Linked DNA regions of Astyanax mexicanus. The protein of the gene in region 2 purifies or fractionates together with the protein of the main gene of each other region. This does not show direct contact. Links are inferred from orthologs where the notes say so. Each region holds a gene or a part of one and is shown on either strand. Other genes may lie near its edges.

Evidence for each region. The genes of interacting proteins can lie anywhere in the genome.
Region 1: the proteins of cav1 (region 2) and trpc1 purify together in Homo sapiens (affinity purification with western blotting; 3 studies listed by BioGRID and IntAct, with this or other methods). This does not show direct contact. The link is inferred for Astyanax mexicanus from reciprocal best matches to the Homo sapiens genes CAV1 and TRPC1.
Region 3: the proteins of cav1 (region 2) and potassium voltage-gated channel subfamily A member 5 purify together in Homo sapiens (affinity purification with western blotting, with the first as the bait; 3 studies listed by BioGRID). This does not show direct contact. The link is inferred for Astyanax mexicanus from reciprocal best matches to the Homo sapiens genes CAV1 and KCNA5.

What each region holds. Positions count from the first base shown.
Region 1 is NC_064413.1:50,847,522-50,854,963, reverse strand, and holds the start of trpc1 (short transient receptor potential channel 1), read right to left. Parts: upstream 3,195-7,442; 5' UTR 2,924-3,194; coding exon 2,758-2,923; intron 1-2,757. UniProt on the Homo sapiens protein: Forms a receptor-activated non-selective calcium permeant cation channel. Forms a heteromeric ion channel with TRPC4 or TRPC5 that has reduced calcium permeability compared to the homomeric TRPC4 or TRPC5 channel.
Region 2 is NC_064417.1:17,838,302-17,845,693, forward strand, and holds the start of cav1 (caveolin-1), read left to right. Parts: upstream 1-4,146; 5' UTR 4,147-4,219; coding exon 4,220-4,252; intron 4,253-5,915; coding exon 5,916-6,083; intron 6,084-7,392. Other genes in the region: cav2 (caveolin-2), read left to right, coding at 540-690. UniProt on the Homo sapiens protein: May act as a scaffolding protein within caveolar membranes. Forms a stable heterooligomeric complex with CAV2 that targets to lipid rafts and drives caveolae formation. Mediates the recruitment of CAVIN proteins (CAVIN1/2/3/4) to the caveolae.
Region 3 is NC_064409.1:16,659,932-16,667,282, reverse strand, and holds potassium voltage-gated channel subfamily A member 5, read right to left. Parts: upstream 2,994-7,351; 5' UTR 2,552-2,993; coding exon 986-2,551; 3' UTR 695-985; downstream 1-694. UniProt on the Homo sapiens protein: Voltage-gated potassium channel that mediates transmembrane potassium transport in excitable membranes. Forms tetrameric potassium-selective channels through which potassium ions pass in accordance with their electrochemical gradient.

The DNA.
Region 1 (7,442 bases), on a different chromosome or scaffold from region 2:
GAGACCACTTTCTAAATCAGTTTCTCTGATTTTGCTATTTATAGGTTTATGTTTGAGTAAAATGAACATAGTTGTTTTATTCTGTAAAATACAGACAACATTTCTCCCAAATTCCAAATAAAAATATTGTAACTTGGAGCATGTATCTGCAGAAAATGAGAAATGGCTGAAATTACCTCAAATAATGCAAAGAAAACAAGTTAATATTCTTAAAATTTTAGAAATCAATATTTAGTGGAATAACCCTGTTTTTAATCACAGTTTTCATGCATCTTGGCATGTTCTCCTCCACCAGTCTTGCACACTGCTTTTAGATAACTTCATGCCTTTACTCCTGGTGCAAAAATTCAAGTAGTTCAGTTTAGTTTGTTATCATCCATCTTCCTCTTGATTATATTCCAGAGGTTTTCAATTTGGTAAAATCAAAGAAACCCATTATTTTTAAGTGGTCTCTTATTTTTTTGTATGGGCTCGGGACCGGCTTATAATATCAAGCAGGTGTAGCTTGATATTAGATTACAAAACTCTGGTAGAAATTGGCCACTATTTCAGTGTTATGCATTCTTCAGATGACAACATTCAGTAAATTCAGCAGAGAGATGGTGTGTTTTCAACTCTCTTTTTATTTTCTCACTCCACATATTTTGGCATTTGTTTCTCTATGGCTGACTTTGGCCTTGCGGGTTGTGCAGATTGTGAGCTTGTTGCCGTTTGCATTCTCTCTGAAGAACTTTCAAACCTACAACATGTTTTGTGCGCTTTTGTGTGGCAGTTTTGTGTGAAGTGAACCACTTTGTGGCATGCATGAGAGAAAATTTGACTAGCAAAGAATTGGTCTGTCATCAGTCATATATTTATCCAAAAGATATTATATTTAAACAGTACATTCTTATTTTATATCCACTGAAGACATTTCTTCATTTCTTCATGTTTTGACTGAGCTTTCTCTGAATATTATGTAAACTTGCAATGATCAGAATAATCTGATCTGAAAGGGGATCACACCACAATGCATGTGTTAAAAGTACTCTTCCACATGCTCAGTGCGGAGACACTTTTTCACCACTTTTTTTTCACATTTTCCTTGTTTGGTCTAGATTTTCTGAAAAAGTGCCATAAATTACAGTTCAACTTAAAGGATCAAAATTTGATCGCCATATTGACAGCACACCGATTTCAGACAAACTCTACAAACCAATGAGTGTCAAGTATACGCAGACTTGTGTTGCATGGTATACTAGTATACCGATACTAGAAAGGTACTAGAAATACTTTGTCATCAAAATCGGTACAATACACTATTTATTTAGTATTGGTACTATAATTCTTAATCCATCAGAATAAACCATATACCGTATATGGCTAGAAAGATCTAGAAAGAAATCCTGCCATTTGTAAAAGCTGCAGCGTCATCGCTCTTCGGTGAGGACCTGTGATTAATCCACTGTAGAAAAGACTCAATAATAAGCAAAACATTTTGTGACCCGATAACTGCTTTATTTCTCAGTTTTCAGCACAAACATACGTTCTGAAATATAATCCAGTGTCTAAGGAGAACTCTGTGTCGTCTCTGAGTTTCCCTGAGGCTGTGTATACATGAGATCAGAGCCTTATATCAACGCATGGGCTTCTAAACAATATTTTAAATCATTGACTAAAATATGCATCTCAATCTCAATTTGTGAACCGATTCAGTCAGCTCTAGGCTCAACCCACAGTTTAAGTTCTTCACAGCATCCAAACACCACAAAGATCACATGATAATTCACAAAATATCAGCAGCTTCTACAGTTTATATGCCTCCCAGCTTGCCCAGCCATTTTTTGGTGTTCTTGACATTTTTCTGGCTTTAATAGCTTTTTCTGGTTACCTGACTTACTGTGCTGCTAATGGTTCTGATACAAGAGCTACTGCAAACATGAAGATTTCAAAACAACAAAGCCCTATATGCATGGGATTAGTTTCTCAGGGGGTCCTAGGGTAAGTTTCTCTTTTATGGGGGTCCTCTGATTTTTTTTTTTTTAATTTATTTTCAGACATCCTCTGAGAAAATTACAGGCTGAATTATCTACTGTTATTCACTGTATTCCGTAGTCCTCTGGTAATTTTAGTCCCGTCCGAATTCCCATCTCTAAGTTTCCTCACCTCGCATTTATTTAAATAGCTATTTGTCCACTGCCATGCACCTTAATTACACTTTGAGCGCACGTTTACATGGAGATCCACATAAACACAACAGCAGAAGAGTGGAAATGGAGGAGCTACTGAACGCCATGTCGTGACCGAGAAAGCCTAATAACTCACTGGTCCTCCTATTATTTTTTCATTGCAGTCCGGATGCAAGAGTTTTGGCACATAGTTTCTCCAGTATCCATGCATCATTAAACCAAATAAGTGAACACAGCTGGTGAGATAAAAGGGACTGCACCACAATGCATGTTTTAAATGTATGCTTTCGTAAGCTGTGTGCAATAAATTATGCAATTAAGCAGGGGGGCTTTAAGTAATGGAGCATCACTTCCATTAATCTCTGTCCTCTTATTGTGTATAAAACATTGAGATATGGACAGTAAACAACAAACAAAACAAACAAACCAACAAATTCTATGTAGGCTAGGTATGGACCACCTATATATAGGAGGTCCTTTTTTATCATATGATGCAGCTGGTCCTGATGCAAGCCCATCCATATCACAACACCCCCCCGTCCCCCAAATGTCTGTGCATGGCCTCCAGCTCGCCCACACACACACTCACCCTTCTCGCAGGCCAGCAGAAAGAGCTTCTCGTCGAGCGTGGTGTCCTCCTTCACCTCCCTCACGTCCTTCAGCGCCAGATAGGTGTCCGGAGCGGAGGCGCCAGGGGCCTGGTATCCGGCAGCCATGACCACGGAGAGGGAGCAGGGCAGGACGCTGATGTGCATCCCAGCTGGAGCGCGCTGAGACGGGGAGAGAGAGAGGCAGGCAGCCCGTCCGAGCGGCCGGCCCTCCGCGGGGCTCGGCTACGTGTTGGGAAGGCGCAGGAGCAGCAGGTGCGGCCCGGGAACCAAGCGCATCTCCCCCCGGGAACACCGCGGTCCGCACGGGGCTAAAACAGCCCAGCAGCCCAACGCAGCCCGGGTCAGACAGACGAGGACCAGGATCAGGAGGAGAGGATGAAGAGGAGGAGGAGGAGGATGCTAGTGATGGGGACGATGGTGGTTCTGCGCATGCGCAGCTGCTGTTTGTGGGGACAGAAGGGTCGTTACATAAGAACAGCTTGAGGATCAGTAGAACATTGTACAGATGTAAATACATAGAATATTGTAGAATGAATGTATTTAATTTATATTCTATTCATACAGTGTATATATCATGTATTTATATAATATTTTTGTTTATATATTATAGATTTATAAATGTAAATCGCATGTATTTATAGCCTATACACTATAGATTTCTAGTTTTTAAATTTATAGACTATAGATTTATTTATTATAGATTATAGAAAATAGATTTGTGGATTATATATTTATAGAAAATAGATTTATAGACGTTAGATTTATAGACTATATATTTGTAGATTATAGATTTATAGGAATTAGATTTATAGACTATAGATTTATAGGAATTAGATTTATAGACTATATATTTGTAGATTATAGATTTATAGACTACATACGTGTAGATTATACATTTATGGATTATAGATTTATAGACTATAGATTTATAAATTATAGATTTAAAGGTTATAAATGTATTTATCATATATTTATAAACTATAGCTTTATGGATTATAGATTTATAGATTATAAATGTATAACTCATATTTATAGATTATAGATTTATGGATTATAAATGTATAACTCATATATTTATAGATTATAGATTTATGGATTATAAATGTGTATATCGTGTTTTTTTAGAAGATATATTAATATACTATAGATTTATAGATTATAGTTGTATTTATTATAATTTAAAGATTATAAATATGAAAACAATGATTTGTCCTGTTTGTATATATTTCAAATAAATTAATAACTCACATCTCTATTGTCTTCAAACTTTTTAAAATAATTAAAATAAGAAAATAAAGCATAATTATGTGTTGTTTATATAGTTATACTGAATGTATATATACTTTATAGCAAATCAAAATCATAATTAAAATATTTAAAATATTGCTTTTGTGTCAGTGGGCTCTGCATTCCTCCACAATGAATTTGAAATGACTTTCAGGTTTAATTCGAGGGGCTTAACAAAAATCCTATAAGGAGTTACAACCATTTCTCTACAAACCTCATTTAAGGGGCTCAAAAGTAATTGGACAAATTAACTTTATTGTAAATAAAATGTTAATTTTTAATACTTTGTTAAAAAAATCCTTTGTAGGCAATGACTGCCTAAAGTTTTGAAACCCATGGACATCTCCAAATTTTTCCTCATTTATGATGCTTTGCCAGCCTTGTACTCCAGCTGTCTTCAGTTGTTGCTGGTCTGTGGTTCTTTCTGCCTTTAGTTTTGTCTATAGTAAGTGAAATGCTGCTTGATCTGCTTCAGATCTGGTGATTGACTCTGCCATTTCAGATTATACCATTTCTGTGCCTTAAGAACTCCTGGTTTGCTTAAGCAGTATGTTTTTGGTCATTATCCATCTGTACTGTGAAGTGCTGTCCAGTCATACTTGTTGCATTTTGTTTTTTCGCAACTAGAGGACTAAAAGGGGCAAAATATATCAATTTAAATAGGGCAAACTCACTATTTTGGACATACAGTCGTGTAACTGAATAAAACAATTTGTTTCATCTTCTATAAGCTTGGGTTTGCCCTCTACTGCTGTGTACGAGTTACTGCAGTGTTCTCAGGCCTCAGCTTGACAGCAAATGTAAATTTCATTGTTTCTCATTTCCTCTGCTCTACTTCCCCTCAGCTCATTAGCTTTCATAATTATCACCCTCTTCTTGCACTGAGGTGTGGCTGGATTCAACAGACTGAGAGGATTGTTTTGAAGCTTTTTAAATTGACATTTAATATATTGTTCATCCCATGCTCTTTTGTAATGAGACAATGTTATGTACTTTATTTATAACTTATAACAAGGCACACACTGCGTAATGTGGTGTCTGTATATTCTAAAAGGGGTGTGGCTTAAACTACTGATAAATGGAACGTATGCAATTTGAAGAACTGAAATGCGTTTATAAATTCTGTATCATATTCCAGAACAATTTAATTTGTCTTGTACAATCAGATACCGTTAAACCCACTATAATGGAAATCTATAGGACACCACATTTTATTTAATCCACTGGTAGGCATTTTTTTATTTCAGCATGATCTCCATTTAGTGAAAAGGGCATCCTTTGGGGCACCATCTAATAGGGGTGGCATAGAAGACCCTTCATATTGGTACATTTTTCTATTAGAAGGGCAGAAGGGCACCTGTATATACACACTTATTAAGACATATAATTAACGTTTCTTGAACTAGTGGACACATTATTTTAATGTACTCATGAAGGGGCACCCAAACAGGCACTGAATCACTTTTCTCACAAGAAGGGCACACAATAGGCCACTTTGTCCCTTTTTTGGTCATCTAAAAGACATGAAAAGCGATCCTTGTTTTTTTTTTAACCATGGGTGTACCAAGAAGGGGTGGTTGCCACCCCTGCACCCCCTTGAGTCCACCAGTGGTGTATTAATGTTTGGCCGTTCTTTCTGTAAAATCTTGTATCAGAAAGCTCATATCTTCTGTATTTAGTGCTGCTGTACCTGTCAGTACTGCAAATTAGAGGGTTAATTCTGATCTTAACTATAGACAATACCCATCCTCTGATTACCACTGCCAACCATTTGCACTTACTCCTCAAGATATTGATGTAAACTGACTTTTGTTAAACACCAGCCATAGGCTAAAGTTGTTGTGTTGACAGTGGCTCACAAGCTTGACATGGCTTTAGAGCATCAGATCTGCAGTCATCAGAATTAAATGTCAAAAAGTCTTCAAAGTGTCAAAGTAGCCACCCATCAGAGTGCTATTTTAGTATTGCAGATACTAATGTGTAATGGACAATTTAATTCAGGCCTTAGTTTGAAATAGTATATATACACTACCAGACAAATGTTTGGTAATATCTTATATTCTGTGCTTTTCATCATTTTAACATTTTAGATTATTTAAAGTAGCACCTCTTGTTTAGATGACAGCTTTGCACAGCCTGGCATTTCCTCAGTCAGCTAGAGAAAATGAGGTAGTCACCTGGAACAGCTTTCAGTCAATCCGAAAAATTTCAAGAAATTTCAGAGTATTCTTAAACGCAGTGACAACGACCATCAAAAATGTTATGATGAAACTGGCACTCATCAGGAACACCCCAGGAAAGAAAGAACAAGAGTTTCCTCTGTTGCACAGCATAAGTTGATCAGAGTTACCAGTCTCAGAAACAGCAAGTTAAAAGCTCCCCAGATAAGAGCACCTAAATGCTTCACAGACTATTTTGTTTTGTTTAATGCTTTTACATTACTACATGATTCATTATGCACTCCTTCATGATGAATACAGTATTAATTTATGAATAATGTAGGAAAAATGAATAAAAACATTGAAAGAAAAGGTGTGTCCACACGTTTGACTGAGACTGTATTTCATTATCAGTGTGAACCCTGGTAAAATGAGACATAAGACACAACTGGACCAGTTTCATCTAATTTTTTGCTTTGCTCTGGTTCTTTTGGGGGCCAATAAAACGCTGCATTGACAAAAGTATTAGGTGATGGTTCAGTGATAAGTTATTTTGGAAAAATTAATGGAACGCTTGCATATTCATTGTCTTATTCAAATTTAATGGTACTAAATAGAATGTAGTGTGTCTCTATTGTCCAGAAAATACTATTCTTTTACACAATTTATTCCAAAAGTATTGAATGTACACGCCTTTGTTCCAGAGAACACAGTTCCACTGTTCCACTTTATACCCCTCTAGCCCACATCTGGCATTAGGCATTGATACCAAAAGATTCATGTTTATGTATATAACGGGGCTTCATCCAATTCTTCTTTCTGGTTACTCTGAACTAACCATCCAACATCCGTATCTGACCTCACTGATGCAGTAAGTGTTTTGAGCAGTAGATGGCAGTGCTTAACAACCTGCCATGGTTCATCTACAGCTCTAGGTCATTCTGAGTGGCATGTATGTACTGTTCATGTACTGTTACTAATACAGATTATATTATAAAAGAGCTAGTATCTATAGTACACTTTTATAAAAATCTAGAATACTTTCCTCGAAATAATATTCCTGCTATAGTCTACAGTAATTGCTTAATATAGAAATAAATTGTAAATACATTATTGCAAGTATACTAGTATGCTAGTGTTGTTATATGTAATATATGCATTTTATTTTGTATGCTATTATATTATAAGTAATTATTATAATGTAAATATATAACTAT
Region 2 (7,392 bases):
GAAGCACCTGCTGTGAAGGCTTAATGGCCATGCTGATGTTTATAAAGCACCGTTACAGTTATCTTAATTTACTGGACCACAGAGATGAGAACAGCTGGGGTGAGGAATAGCAATGGTAATATAATGCCTCATTTAAAGTAAAGTATTATGACAATGATAACATAAACCCTTAAGGGTAGTTTGTCATAACTTGCAAGTAAGGTAGGTTTTGTTGCTGAACATGCCCAATAACTACTTACCTTGACAGAAAAGGCCCATTTAACTAACGAGTATTTCTTACAGCCACTGATGTGTTTTTGTTTTGGAAGAAAGTAGTTACCTGTAGCTTGGTGAACACATTTTCTGACAGACTGCTTAAAGGTTTTGAATAGAAGTGCATAGATACAGAAATATGTGTGTTGGATGGTTCTGGTAAAATTTAATTTTAAATAAAATTTAATCATTCGGATAAATCATTTGAGACGGATTAATATAATTAAAGTGTAAAAATATGCAACTGCCATGTAATGTACTGAAGTGTTGTCCTCTGTTGTGTGCAGGGTAGTGATGCCCCTCGTGCACAGCTGCATGATGGCCCTGCCGTCTGTCCAGGTGGTCTGGGCCAGCCTGATGGACATGTTCACTGGGCCTTTCTTCCACAGCTTCGGCAAGAGCCTGTCTTCCATCAACATAAAGACTGTGCAAAACTAAAACAGATTTAAGGAATACTCCAGTGATTTGGCATAATCTTTCTGTAGGCCACCTGTAGCATAGAGTTGAATAACACAGACAAAAACTTTTTTGTAGCACAAATAGCACTTTGTCAGCTTTGAGACAGTGTGTTGAAACTGACCATAGTCTACTGATACAGCAGTTAAAACACTGGAGTATTCCTTTAAGTCCTATTACTTTCAGACCAATTCCTTTAACAACAGATGTTCTCTATGACATGCTTTCTTCTACTTGAGTGCCTGAGCTTAGACATTACGCTCAGACCTTATCAGCTGCACCTGATGCACCCTAAAATCAGCTGTTTGTTTTGATCTAGGTTAAACCATATGTATTGGCTTTCTAGTAAGATGATGGCATGTCATGTATTAAAAACAATAGCAAGGTTAAAGAAAAGGAAGAAAATATTTTTATTTCCATATTTGTTCACCAGACAAAACCTGACTCCTGTTTCACAATATCAGTAGTGAAAAACAGTTGCTTATTTAAAACGTATGTGTGATTAAGCTTTTATACTGTATATGAGAAATTACATATGAATGTACTGACTGAGACCTTATTGTCTGTTTATTCCCTAGTGTACATTAGTATATAAATGCTGAGGTGCAGCTTATTGCATTCTTTTGCATGCTTATTATTTAGCTAGTGAAGAAATGATGCTACTGCATAACAAGAAGCAAAACAGGGAACAGAGAATAAAATAAAACTGGTGCCAGCTACATCCTGCTGGATAGTAGCTCTTTTGTGTTTTCTGTCTAAATTAATATTTATTAACAATAAAAGAACATAGGGTGTATTACTTTTATATTTTAGAGATATCCTTTGTTAAGTTTATTTTTACACAACATTGCCTTATGTGCATACATACTGTCTGAGCCTTTAGGCGTAGGCCTCAATGACAGATTGCTCTGCACACAAAGTTAACATTCCATAAAACATCAAGGACCATGATGGATTTTAGAGAGTAATTTATTCCTGCACAGTTTTTCAGACCGCTTGCCTTGCAAAGCTGCATTTGAAGTGCTGCCTGCTCTTTTTTAGTAGCTGCTCAGAGAAAATGGAAGGCTTGTTTGTGCAATGGAACATGAGGTGTTCAGGTGTTCTTTTTTCTTCCTCCTCCCTATTGAGTGATGTAATGTAGCAAAAATCCTGAGTGCAACAGAGCTCAATAAGAGAGAATCTTAGAGATCAGGGCCAAAAAGCCTCTCAGTTACTTTGCCAAATAAAGAAATATTTAAAGTGATACTCTTGTTTGTCTTTTTTTCATCTCATATCTGTGCAAAAATATTTCACCCTACCTCTTAGTTATCAGTTGTAAAACGGCACATGTAGAAATCTCTTGCCGTTTGCCTGAGGGGAGATAGCATATTACACAAAGTGGAATGTTCCATGTAGACGCCATAGAACCTGCCCAGAGTTCACTACGTACTGATATACACTGAGTTTTATGCGACAAAGAGCTGTATTCACATTTATTCCAGAGAGTCCATGCATTAAGATTGATTAATCCCTGATTAGTCAGCAGGTATGTAATTTTTGTTCACTTTACCACATAATGTTTTACATCTCTTGTCAACACATACCTTTCACTCACTGGAATATGTGAAAGCTAAAAACAGACTGCATTCATTATTTACCTTTTCTTCCAAAAGCAGTTTAGCCCCACCCATTCATAAAGAAATTTTAGGTATTTCATCCTGAGCTGACCTTTAACAGAAGCAGATTGTCAATCAAAGGGAATTTATTAGATTTAAAGGTACACAGGAAATTTGGCAGTGTTAAATCAACACTGTTAGTGTTAAATTAACACTTATTAGTGTTAAACTTTACACTCTCAGTGTTAATTTAACACTAACAGTGTTGATTTAACATTGCCAAATTTCCTGTGTACTATGCAGCCTGTTTTATCATAAGGAATAAAATGAACTTGGAAAACAGTCATGTAAAAATGAATTATGACCATTTCTGGTCTAAAACTTTAAAAAAAATATTGTAAGATTTTGGCCATTTAAATGGTTTAATTTTTACCATTGGCTGGGTAGCATTAATATCAGCACTATATGCTAAGCATATTACAAATACACTGTGTACAAATAAAGTTTCTCTCAACCAGCAATGCAGAATCAACAGTGCTAGTGAAAACAGCAATGTTCATTTGAGCTCTCATAATTACACTGTATAAACTGATAAAGGAAAATTTTACTATCTTTCTCTCCTTGATACCACACACACACACACACACACACAGTACTCTGAACAAAAGCCCTGTCTTTTTGCATGCCTTTGCATACTGGCCATAGAGAACAAATCATGTCAGTCTTCCATTGGGGTGTGTCTCCAAGACAAGACATGTAGAACTGAAGGAATGAAGGCCATGGTTTAAACTAGAATAAAAATGTTTTTCTTGTATATGAACAATTTGTGTACAAATTCTTTGAGTTACGGTTCTATAATCAATAGAATCATTGCCGTTAAGAAACATCATTTGAAGAACTGCCCAGTGCTTACATTTTATAGAGTTAGCAGTTTATTGCATAGTTAATCAAACATCAGTAATTAAACAATTTAGGGAGGGTACTTTCCAAATAAAATGTTGTCCACCAATACAGCAACCTGTACATTTGAGGGGGCAATAACATTAAATAATCTTTTCATAACTTAACCTTTTAAAATAGAAGAAAATTATCTGTAAGGTGGATTAATAAAGGTAATGAAGCACATCTTTTGAGGACACTGACACTCTTAATACCAAAATAAGTATAGTTCGGTACCTTTTTTTACATTTTTTTTTACATTACCTTTTTTAAATATATCAAGGTATCCAAACAAAATAGTACCAAAACTTTGTAAATATGAATGAATGTTTTTACTTCTTACCTTAAAACTAGCATGTCTGTTTTAGTTACAAATCTTAAAAATGCTGCATATAAAACCACTGTTGAGACTTATGCAGCATTAGCACTGAATACATTTAGTAGCGCAACCCCTCCATTCACTTGGGTTATTTACCCTGAGTTAAACCCTGAGCTTCACATTTACTTTACAGACTTAAGGTGAGGTTTTACATGTGTGCAGCTTCTTTAGCATCTACAGGGAGCAATTATGGCCCTGATTGGGGAAAATCACGTCAGTATATCCACCACTACCCCTGCTTGAGTGGCAGGCTAATGGTGGGTTAGGGTTTCACTCATCACAGAGCACACTTGTCCGCGCAGGTGACGGAGGCACAGTTGTGAGGCTGTGAGCAGCTCGGTGGATTCGAGCCAGAGGGATTTAGCAGCTCTGGACTGGAGTAAAAGAGAGGGGTTAATACATACAGGCGCTTGGTTAAAGAGGCAGAGACTGGGATTCAGTTAATGCTAGTGTTACTGCTCCTGTCAGTGTGTGTGTGTGTGTGTGTGTGTGTGTGTGTGTGTGTGTGTGTGAGGACTCAGTCGCAGCGCCTCCCACAGTGCGCTTCCTTTGGAAAGTCATTGTGCTTCAGTGTTCAGATCTGACTGCTTCAGACAGCATGACTGGAGGACTGAAGGACGGAGAAAGCGAGGTGAGTGCGTGAGGCTGCCGTGATCCTTTCTCAGCGCAGCCATTCCATCTGCTAATAATAATAATAATAATAATAATAATAATAATAATAATTGTTAATGCTTTAATTTTTTGTGTGATTTTAACTAGTTTAAATGAGAAGTTGTTTTTTTTTTTTCACTTTTTTCGTGCAGTTCAGAGTCTAATTCCAAATGACTCCACTTTTCGCAGGGTGAAATACAGTCTATCTCTTCTCTTATCGTTACGCCCCCACCTCCCTAAATTATGCCCCCCAATGCTCTCCTACCTTTTTTCCCTCCTCTGTCCACTATTGGCACCACCTCGCGCACTATGTTCCAGTTTCTCGTGCGTTATCTAGCTATTTTGGCTCGTTCTTTTCTTCAACAGGTTTCTCTCTCTCTCTCTCTCTGAATGAAGTATTTTGAGGTCAGACTCCACACTGTACAGATTACTCCACACTGTACTAGATACTCCACACTGTACTAGGTACTCCACACTGCAGTGGGTACTCCACACTGCACAACTACCCCACACTGTAGCTACTCCACACTGTACTAGGTACCTCACACTGTATTGGGTCCTCCACACAGTACTGGGTACTCCACACACTGTACAGACTTCTCCACACAGGACTGGGTACTCCATACACTGTACAGACTTCTCCACACTGTACAGACTTCTCCACACTGTAAAGGGTTCTCCACACACTGTACAGTCTACTTCACACTGCACAGATTTCTCCACATTGTACTGGGTACTCCACACACTGTAAAGGGCTCTCCAATCAGCAAAGGGTACTCCACACACTGTACAGTCTACTTCACACTGTACAGACTTCTCCACACTGTAAAGGGTACTCCACACACTGTACAGTCTACTTCACACTGCACAGATTTCTCCACACTGTACTGGGTACTCCACACAGTAAAGGGCTCTCCAATCAGTAAAGGGTACTCCACACACTGTACAGTCTACTTCACACTGTACAGACTTCTCCACACTGTAAAGGGTACTCCACACACTGTACAGTCTACTTCACACTGCACAGATTTCTCCACACTGTACTGGGTACTCCACACAGTAAAGGGCTCTCCAATCAGTAAAGGGTACTCCACACACTGTACAGTCTACTTCACACTGTACAGACTTCTCCACACTGTAAAGGGTACTCCACACACTGTACAGTCTACTTCACACTGCACAGATTTCTCCACACTGTACTGGGTACTCCACACAGTAAAGGGCTCTCCAATCAGTAAAGGGTACTCCACACACTGTACAGTCTACTTCACACTGTACAGACTTCTCCACACTGTAAAGGGTACTCCACACACTGTACAGTCTACTTCACACTGCACAGATTTCTCCACACTGTACTGGGTACTCCACACAGTAAAGGGCTCTCCAATCAGCAAAGGGTACTACACACACTGCATAGACTACTGTACGTGTTTACTCCACGCGGTATCAGCATGCAAATCTAGTAGAAGCTTCTCGTTGGGGACCCCTTGTGGCGGAACTCGGACCTCTGCTTAGAGAGGGGTGTGGTGCTGCACTTCTATCCATTTAAAACCATCTCATACCAGGGGTAACGTGCTGAGTCGCTCCTTGCTCTCCTCTCTCACGTTTGGAAACTTTTCTCCATTTTGTTGTTGTTCTCTCAGGAGTACATTCACTCTCCGTTCATCAGAAAGCAAGGGAACATTTACAAACCCAACAACAAAAGCATGGATAACGACAGCATCAACGAGAAGACCATGCAGGACGTCCACACCAAGGAGATAGACCTGGTCAACCGGGATCCAAAGCACTTAAATGATCACGTAGTAAAGGTAAACTTATTTCCTGTTTTCCTATTAGAAAAAATAAACATATTAACAGGCGTGCTATAGCTGTCATTTTTATATTTCTTATTTTAAGACATTTCTATTTTTACAAGAAATTAGCATAAACTAATTTTAGGCATAAACTAGTAGAAAGCTGCCTATAGATAACATTTGGAAGTTTAGTCTACTTTTCTTCTGTTTATTAATTAGCACAACATTAACTGTAAAAAGGGGCTTTAAATTTGCATGATTCAAATGTCCTAACTGGTTTTAATTTTTTGTTCCAAATATTTAAATGTGTCATGTCAAAACAATTCTAATTCTAATAAAGAATAAACTTCAAGAAAGCTGTGGTTCTGTTGATTGTACAATGTTTTATTCATGTACAATCACCTCACACTTTCAAATCGTGTAAAGCATTTAATATTCAGAGCTCCCTCTTTAGTGGAATTGTGCAACTCCAGCTGGCTGTGCCACAAGGAGCTGTAGCTGTGCTGTGGAATAGTTTTAGACAAGCCTGCAAAAGCTGCATGCACGGCACAAGTTTGACCTGAAGTTTTCTTGTGAGCCATTGACTACCACAGCCCTATGTCCTGTCTCTTTATCAGAATCAGTGCATGCTTGCTAACGCAGGTAACCTCTGCTCTGCACCGACCGACCCCCTGTCTAGTGATGAGCTGTCAGAACCTCAGCTCCACAAAGGAACAGAGGAAATATTTCAAGCTTCCTGTTTTCGCAGAGTTTTTGCTCCCAACATTGTTGACAGAAATTTTCCAGGGCGTGGAGGCATGCTGAGAGTGTGTCCAGCTAAGTTATGCTGCATCAAATGTTAAAAATGCCCATTTAACCCTACTGTATTTGCTTTGATAAATGTACACATTCTGCAAGTGAATGTGTCCCATTGCTGTTGCTAGGGAGTGGCAGGATATTTCCAGGGATAACCTGTGACCAGAGGATAGGGAGAAAAGTATCTGTTAAAGCACTGATGCCCCCTTTTTCCTTCTTTCTCTTCCTCGCCCTTTTTATGCCAGCGTGATTCTGACTCACTCTCCCAAACATGACCTCCTTAGAACAGAGAGGTTCTTATGATTTGTCCACTGATTGAATTCACAAGCGCATTGGACACGCAAGCATTTTTTCCGTTCTGGATTGGTCTGGAAACAGAGTGAATGGAGGCCGAGAGAAATCTTGCGGTCTTGCGTATGGGAAGAGAGCAGGGAATTCCCATCTATATTTCCACCATCATATTACTCACACATACACACATAGGGTGTTCCTCTGGGCAGGCATCTGGCCCTTATTCCAGTGGTGGGCG
Region 3 (7,351 bases), on a different chromosome or scaffold from region 2:
ACCTTTGCTCTTTGTGCTCCTCTTGAAGATGTCTTGCACCCTCTGAGGACCAGCATTTTGCACTGGTGTGCTGAAAAAGCTCTCCCCTGCACAGCATCGCCCCATCAGCTGAATTCCTTCTGCTTTTCTCCGTTTTCTTCTCGGCCCAGATCTTCCATCAAAAACTTTGAGTTCCAGGTCAGATAAGACACCTCAGTCCTCAGGAAATCAACAGTGAAATCCATCCAAGCATCTGCCTTAAAGTCTTGGTGTGAAGTGCCTTGGTCTGAGTGTTTTTTTTTTCATCATATAAATAAATAAATAAATAATGTATAATATGCAATAGAATTTTGAGTATTTAAGGGTTATAAAACTACAGATCTCACATTATCCAAACCATCATCATTATCATAATCAAAGTGTGCTTCAGGAAACCTTTGTGTGCAACCCGTTCCTCGATTTGAACGTTTTGATACGATATGATGATGGAAATATGTACACATTTTTTTATTGTTGATGCTTTTTAAACAAGGAGAATTTAAGCAGCAGTAAACAAGAGACTGATGAAGATCTGGGTGTTTTTACGAAAATGAAATGACCCTTGTTGGCTTTTGTTTTTGTTGAACAGTTGAATATGTAGGACATATAAGTTGTAGGACATGTTACAGCTATGTTACAGGAGTGCACACACTGGTGGAGGTGAAGGTGGAGGTGGTGCCAGCTCAGTTAAGGCCTTTCAAGTCAAATCCAGATTTTCTTCATCAACCACATCCTCACATTTTGACTTATAACAGGCTATTGAATTCTATATTAAAGTCCTATTTTAATATATGATTATTGATAAAACCATTATAAGACTGCAGCAACCTGTTGATAAAACAGTCGATTGTGCAAAAGGACTTGTCTTGAACTTGGTTTCTTTTTAGACAGACCTAGAGACAAAATAAAAAAGTAGTCTGATGTTTGCACCTGCATTTGTGGTGCACCGGTCAATGACCTGCGACACCTACAGGTCCGTTTCCCTTGCGTCCAAGCAGAATGCGTACAGTGAACGCTTAATGTCCACACTGCTGCTGCTGCTGCTGTTCACTTTCACACTAGGTTTCTCTGCAGGCGAGTTATCCAGCCCTGCCTCGTTGTCCCCCTCTCCTGCCAACCCCACGGTCGACGGACTCTCGCGGCCGCCATCGTCCCTGAGCGAGGCCTGGTCCTGGTCCGTCTCCCTGTGGTAGAAGTAGTTAAAGTTGGACACGATAACAGGCACTGGGAGCGCAATCGTCAATACGCCAGCAATGGCGCACAGGGATCCTACGATTTTGCCCCCAACAGTGACCGGCCTCATGTCCCCATAACCTACAGTGGTCATGGTCACCACAGCCCACCAGAAGGCGTCGGGAATGCTGGAGAAGTGCGATTCAGGCTCATCAGCTTCTGCAAAGAAGACGGCGCTGGAGAACAGTATGACCCCAATAAAGAGGAAGAAGATAAGCAGGCCCAGTTCCCGCATGCTGGCCTTGAGAGTCTGCCCCAAGATCTGCAAGCCTTTAGAGTGCCTGGACAGCTTGAAGATCCTGAACACCCTGACCAGTCGGATGACCCTGAGGATGGCCAGAGACATGGCCTGCTGTTGCTGCTGCTGCTGTTGTTGGACGTCGTCGTGCTCTGGGCCGTGCTGCTGCTCCACCAGCTCCGTGCCAACCGTGATGAAGTAGGGCATGACGGACATGACGTCAATGACGTTCATGACTGTCTTGGAGAACACAGACTTGCTTGGGCATGCCAGGAAGCGCACTAGCAGCTCAAAGGTGAACCAGATGACGCAAGTAGTCTCTACGATGAAGAAGGGGTCGGCGAAAGTTAGCGAAGGCCTGGAGCGAGTTCCATTGGTCTCTGCCGTCCTGCTGCTGCTGGTCGCAGCCAGCTCTCGCTCATCCCGGAACTCCGGCAGAGTCTCCAAGCAGAAGGTGACGATGGAGATGGTGATGACTAGAACGGAGACGATGGCGATGGCCCGAGCAGGGCTGGAACTCTCGGGGTACTCGAAGATAAGCCACACCTGGCGCTGGAACTCGTTCTCAGGTAGCGGTCGCTCTTCTTCTTTGATAAAGCCCTCGTCCTCGCGGAAGCGCTCCATGGCTTCATCTCCCAGCTCATAGAAGCGGATCTCATCAGCGAAGACATCAATGGACACGTTGACGGGCCTCCGGATCTTGCCTCCGGACTGGTAATAGTACAGGATGCCATCAAAGCTGGGCCGGTTCCGGTCGAAGAAGTACTCGTTCCTCAGGGGATCGAAGTACTTGATCCTTTTCTCGGGGTCGCCCAGCAACGTGTCCGGGAACTGCGAGAGCGTGCCCAGGCGCGTCTCGTAGCGCAGGCCCGCCACGTTGATGAGCACGCGCTCGGCGCTCGCCATGTCCAGCGCGGCGACGGCGGCGGCTTCATCCAGCGTGTCATCGTCAAAGAGGCGCGCGCTGGGCTCCGTGCGCCACGGGCTCGGGGGAGGGCTGCGAGGGGAGCCCGTGCGCGCGCCGCCGTTCTCTAAGCTCACCAGGGCTATCTCCATCTCCATGCCCGAGCCATCAAAAAAGAGCGTGCGGGAGAACAAGAGGGGCAGAGCTGCACGAGAGCCGGGGGGTCCCTCGGCACGCGGCACGCACGGACGCACGCACGAGCCTCCTGCTCCTGCTGCTGATGCCGCCGCTCTCCAGTGTCACCAGCGCGTGTATGTATGTGTGTGTGTATATGTATGCATGCGCGAGCGTGCGTGCGTGCGTACGCCCGCGCGCTCGTACGAGAGTGTGGAACGAGAGAGCAAGCAAGAGAGCGACTAAGCTGTGCAGCGCGCGCTCGCTCAGTAAAGTAAATAACCACGAGAGCACGAGAGATTGAAGAGTTTGAAGACCCGGATGAGAGAAAGAACGATGATTACTGACGTCAAAAAAAGAGAGAAAAAAAACACACACACACACAACAACAGGCGGCTGGCTCAGCGCGCGCACCAGAGAGAGGGAATCCTCTGTTTCAGAAAGAGAGAGAGAGAGTGAGTAAGAGAGTGAAAGAGAGAGGGGGTGGAGGGTGGTCCTCACAACTCCTCCCCCAAAGCCATTCATTTTCATTTTTTTGGCTCTGGAATAAACCTGTGCCCACCTTCTCACCACTGAGGATGGATCAGCACTGGTTGAACCCTGTCAGAACATTAGGACCAACCACTTTGTTTAATAGAAGCCCGCTCGTTCAGTGAGTGTTTGTGTGTGTGTGCGTGTGTGTGTTAGTGAGTTAGTCTGCACACTTTGTTCTCAGCTCTTTCATTGGGTCTGAATGTGCAGCATGTGCGCTAAGGCAGCATTCATTCACGGATGGGTGAACATGGGCATGCCTGGGGTTAAGTTGCATCATCAAATGCTGTATGTGTGTGTGTGTGTGTGTGTGTGTGTGTGTGTGAGACCCATGTGTTTTAGTCTCTCACTCTATCCATGTCTTTATCTTTGAATATACAGTATTTCCCAAAAGTAAACACACCCCTGAAACTTTTCCAAATATTTTTTGATATCTTTTCTTATCCCATTTTTCCCCAATTTACACGGCCAATTACCCAACCCACTCATTAGGACTCCACCATATCAGTAGTGATGCCCCAACACAAGGAGGGTGAGGACTAGCACAGGCCTCCTCCAATACATGTGAAGTCAGCCACCGACTCTTTTCGAGCTACTGCTGATGCAGAATTGCCGAGGACAGCGCAGCGATTCAGGTTCCTATACATCAGCTCATAGACGCCTTGTGCTGATTGACATCAACCTTTGGAGTGATGAGGGATAAGAGTGCCGTCTACCTACCTAGAGAGAGCAAATCCATTTGTGCTCTCTGAGGGCTCTGGCTGATGACAAGCTACATGAACAGGATTCGAACCAGAGGTCTCCCAACCAATGTGGCAGCACCTTAGTCCGCTGGATGACTCAGAGCCCTATATGATATCTTTTCATGAAACACTGAAGATATGATACTTTGATACATACACACAGCTATTAAAGAACCATTAATGATTATATCACCAGGGTGTATTAGCAGATATTAGGTAAACATGCTGAGGTAAAGCTCTGGCAGCTCTTGTGAGCAGAGCTTCAACAGAATTTCTTTTTTTTTTTTAACTGTGAGGCACATCAAGGAAAAGTGTGCGGGATGTGGTTTCCACCGTGTGGGAATCTGCCTACCACCATTCCCATTTCCACACTCAGGGCTTCCAGGTATAGATAATAGTTTTCTGCAGCCATGGAAATGGGCGAGCTGATTATTTTTCTTCTAAACATGTAATCACTGAGCTTCAGTAAGGTTGCTTACTATAGCTAGATAATTTATTACAATCACTAATGTACTAGAAATGGGTATTTTAGACACTGAAACATATACTCTATATTGACTGATCTGCTGCAGAGTCAGACATGTCATCGCTTGCCATTGTGTGCAAACTGGCGACCCATGTGAGCTTCACCTATGGGGATGAGTGGTTGAAGACTCTATCCAGTGTTGGACTAACACACTCGCTCTGATTTATTACAAATTGTTTCTTTTAATGTCTAAACTGCTGGAAGCAAAAGTTAGTAAAAATGGCCAAATTGTGTCCAATTAGATATTTTCCTATTGTAACATTAACTGTTACAAAATCTCAGGTGTGAATGGGGAGAAGGGATGTTTTATATTTGGGTTTTGGGTACAATTCTCTGATACTGGCCACTGTATATTTAACATGGAACATCATGGCAAGAAAACTCTCTGAGGATGAGAGAAACAGAATTGTTGCTCTCCACAAAGATTGCATAGGCTATAAAAAAGTTTGCTTGCACCCCCTAAAACTGAGATGCAGCACGATGACCAAGGCTATACAGCAGTTTTTCAGCACAGCTTCCAGTCAGAACATCAACAAGACCACTGTTTTGTATTTACAGGAGATCTAATTGTACTGTAATTGTACTGTACTCCATTCCCATAGGAATGAAGCATGGAAACGTAGCAACAGCACATATAACACAGTCTAAATGCACTAGAGAACAGAAGAACAGCACCTACATGACTCAGACCAAATGACCAGTGAGTCACATGCTGCATGACCCCCCCGGCTCTGTTCAGGCCATCTGAGGAAACTGCATTTCTGCGTTGTTAAGGAGATGCTCTATGCTTTATGTGCGCAACTGAAACTCATAAGACTGTAACAAGCAGTCGCCACTGGTTGAAAATTCACAACTATAAGGTATTATGGAAACATTTTCTTACTTTGTGTCATGTAAGTAAATATGTCCAACATGTCTTTGATTAGTCTCTTGTTGCACGCAGTACAAATTTGTATTATTTATAATATCAATATCAGATTTTGATAGATGTTTTGGAAGACATGCAAAGATACTGTCCTCTGGTATCCCCCCAAAAACTTTCAATTTAATCAATCACTTGTTTTTAAGTAGTGGTCTTCAAATCCTGCACTGAGCTGTGGATCAGTTGAACTGTGTTCTCTGGAACGATGGAGCTCTTAGGTTTTGCCGTAAGCTTGCCAACACCCTCTAGTAGTGCAACCAAATCTTTACAGCAGAATATATAGTTGCAAGAATTTTTTTTGCATAAATTAAATGTCATTAAATGTGCTCTGATCTTCATTTAAGTCACAACAATAGACAAGCACAGTTTGCTTAAACTAATACCTCACAAAAATTATGTTTGCATATAAATCCAAAGGTTCACATACTTTTCCCCCCTTTACTGTGAATGTTAACATGTTGTGTTCAATAAACCCATGCAAACATATATCATTTTTGTGTGGTATTAGTTTAAGCAGACTGTGTGTTTGACTTAGAAGAAGATCAGAACACATTTAATGACCAATTTATTCAGGAATCTAAGTAATCCCAAAGGTATCACATACTTTTCCCTACACCGAAAATATTAGATGGAGAACCATCATTCTAGAGAACACAGTTCCACTGCATCTCCTTTCAGATTTCTTTTTTCCACACTTACATTTTTTTAATTATCAAACTAATTTTAAACCTGAGTAAATACAAAAAACATTTTCTAAATTATGATTTTATAATTAAATGAAAAAAGCAACATAAACCAACCTGGCCCTTGGTGGAAAAAGTAACTGACCCCCCAATGGATTAACTGTAATTAACCACATTTTCACAAGCCACAACCTAGCCTGAACTGTAGAATCAACAATGCTTTATGTCTGACAACAATAAGGAGGATAAAAGATCTCAAAAAGCAACACATTATTCCCTGAGGTAATTGAAATCTATTACTCTGGAAAAGGATAAAAAGTAGTTTCTAAGGGTTAAGGTCTGGACACTGAGGTGGCCAATCCATGTGAAAAGATTATGTTTTATTCTCCCTGAATCACTCTTTCACAATTCCAGCCCAATGAATCCTGGCATCGTCATACTGGAATATGCCATCAGGGAAGAAAAAAATCCATTGATGGAATAACCTGGTCTATATTCAGTATATTCAGGTAGTCAGCTGACCTCATTCTTTCAGCACATACTGTTGCTGAACCTAAACCTGACCAACTGCAGCATTTGTTTTGGCCAGGCAGTGTAGTATTTCTATATTATCCATGCGAGAGTTCCAAGGCAAAAGCCACTGGTGACCAAAAAAGAACAAAAATAAAAGAAAATCTGCAAGGGGGCAAATGCTTCTTCAAAGCACTGTATATTCCTCTACACATTACACAAAAGCCACTGGTGACCAAAAAAGAACACAAAGTCTTGTCTCACATTTGCCAACAAACATCTTGATAATCCCCAGGATCATCAATATTCTGTTGACTGAAGAGAAAAGTGTAGAACTTTTTTGGAAGATGTGTTTTCTGTTACAGATGGGTGGCATACCATTAACACATAATTTCAGCACACTGAACATCATACTAAAACATGGTCAAACATGGTGGTGGTAGTGTGATGGCCTGGGGCTTCTTTGCTGCTTCAGCACCTGGACAATTAGTTGTAATTGATGGAACCATGAATTCTGCTCTCTACCAGAAAATCCTGAAGCCATCAGTTTGAAACCTTAAACTCAGGCAAACTTGGGTTCTGCAGCAGGACAATGATCCGAAGCACATCAAAATTAAGGTTTTGGAGTGGCCAACTTAAAATCTGATTGAGATGCTGTGGCACATCCAAGTTATTCGGTTTAGAGGTCAATTATATTGTAACCTAGGGCCAGTTTGGTTGCTTTGAATAGATTTTTTCCCCCTTAATAAATGAAATTATCATTTAAAAATATATTTAAAATCTTTTTATATTTACTTTTTTGTATATTTATGTTTGTCTCATATTTAAATTGGTTGGTTAAGCAGAAAATTTTAACTTCACAGCACTGT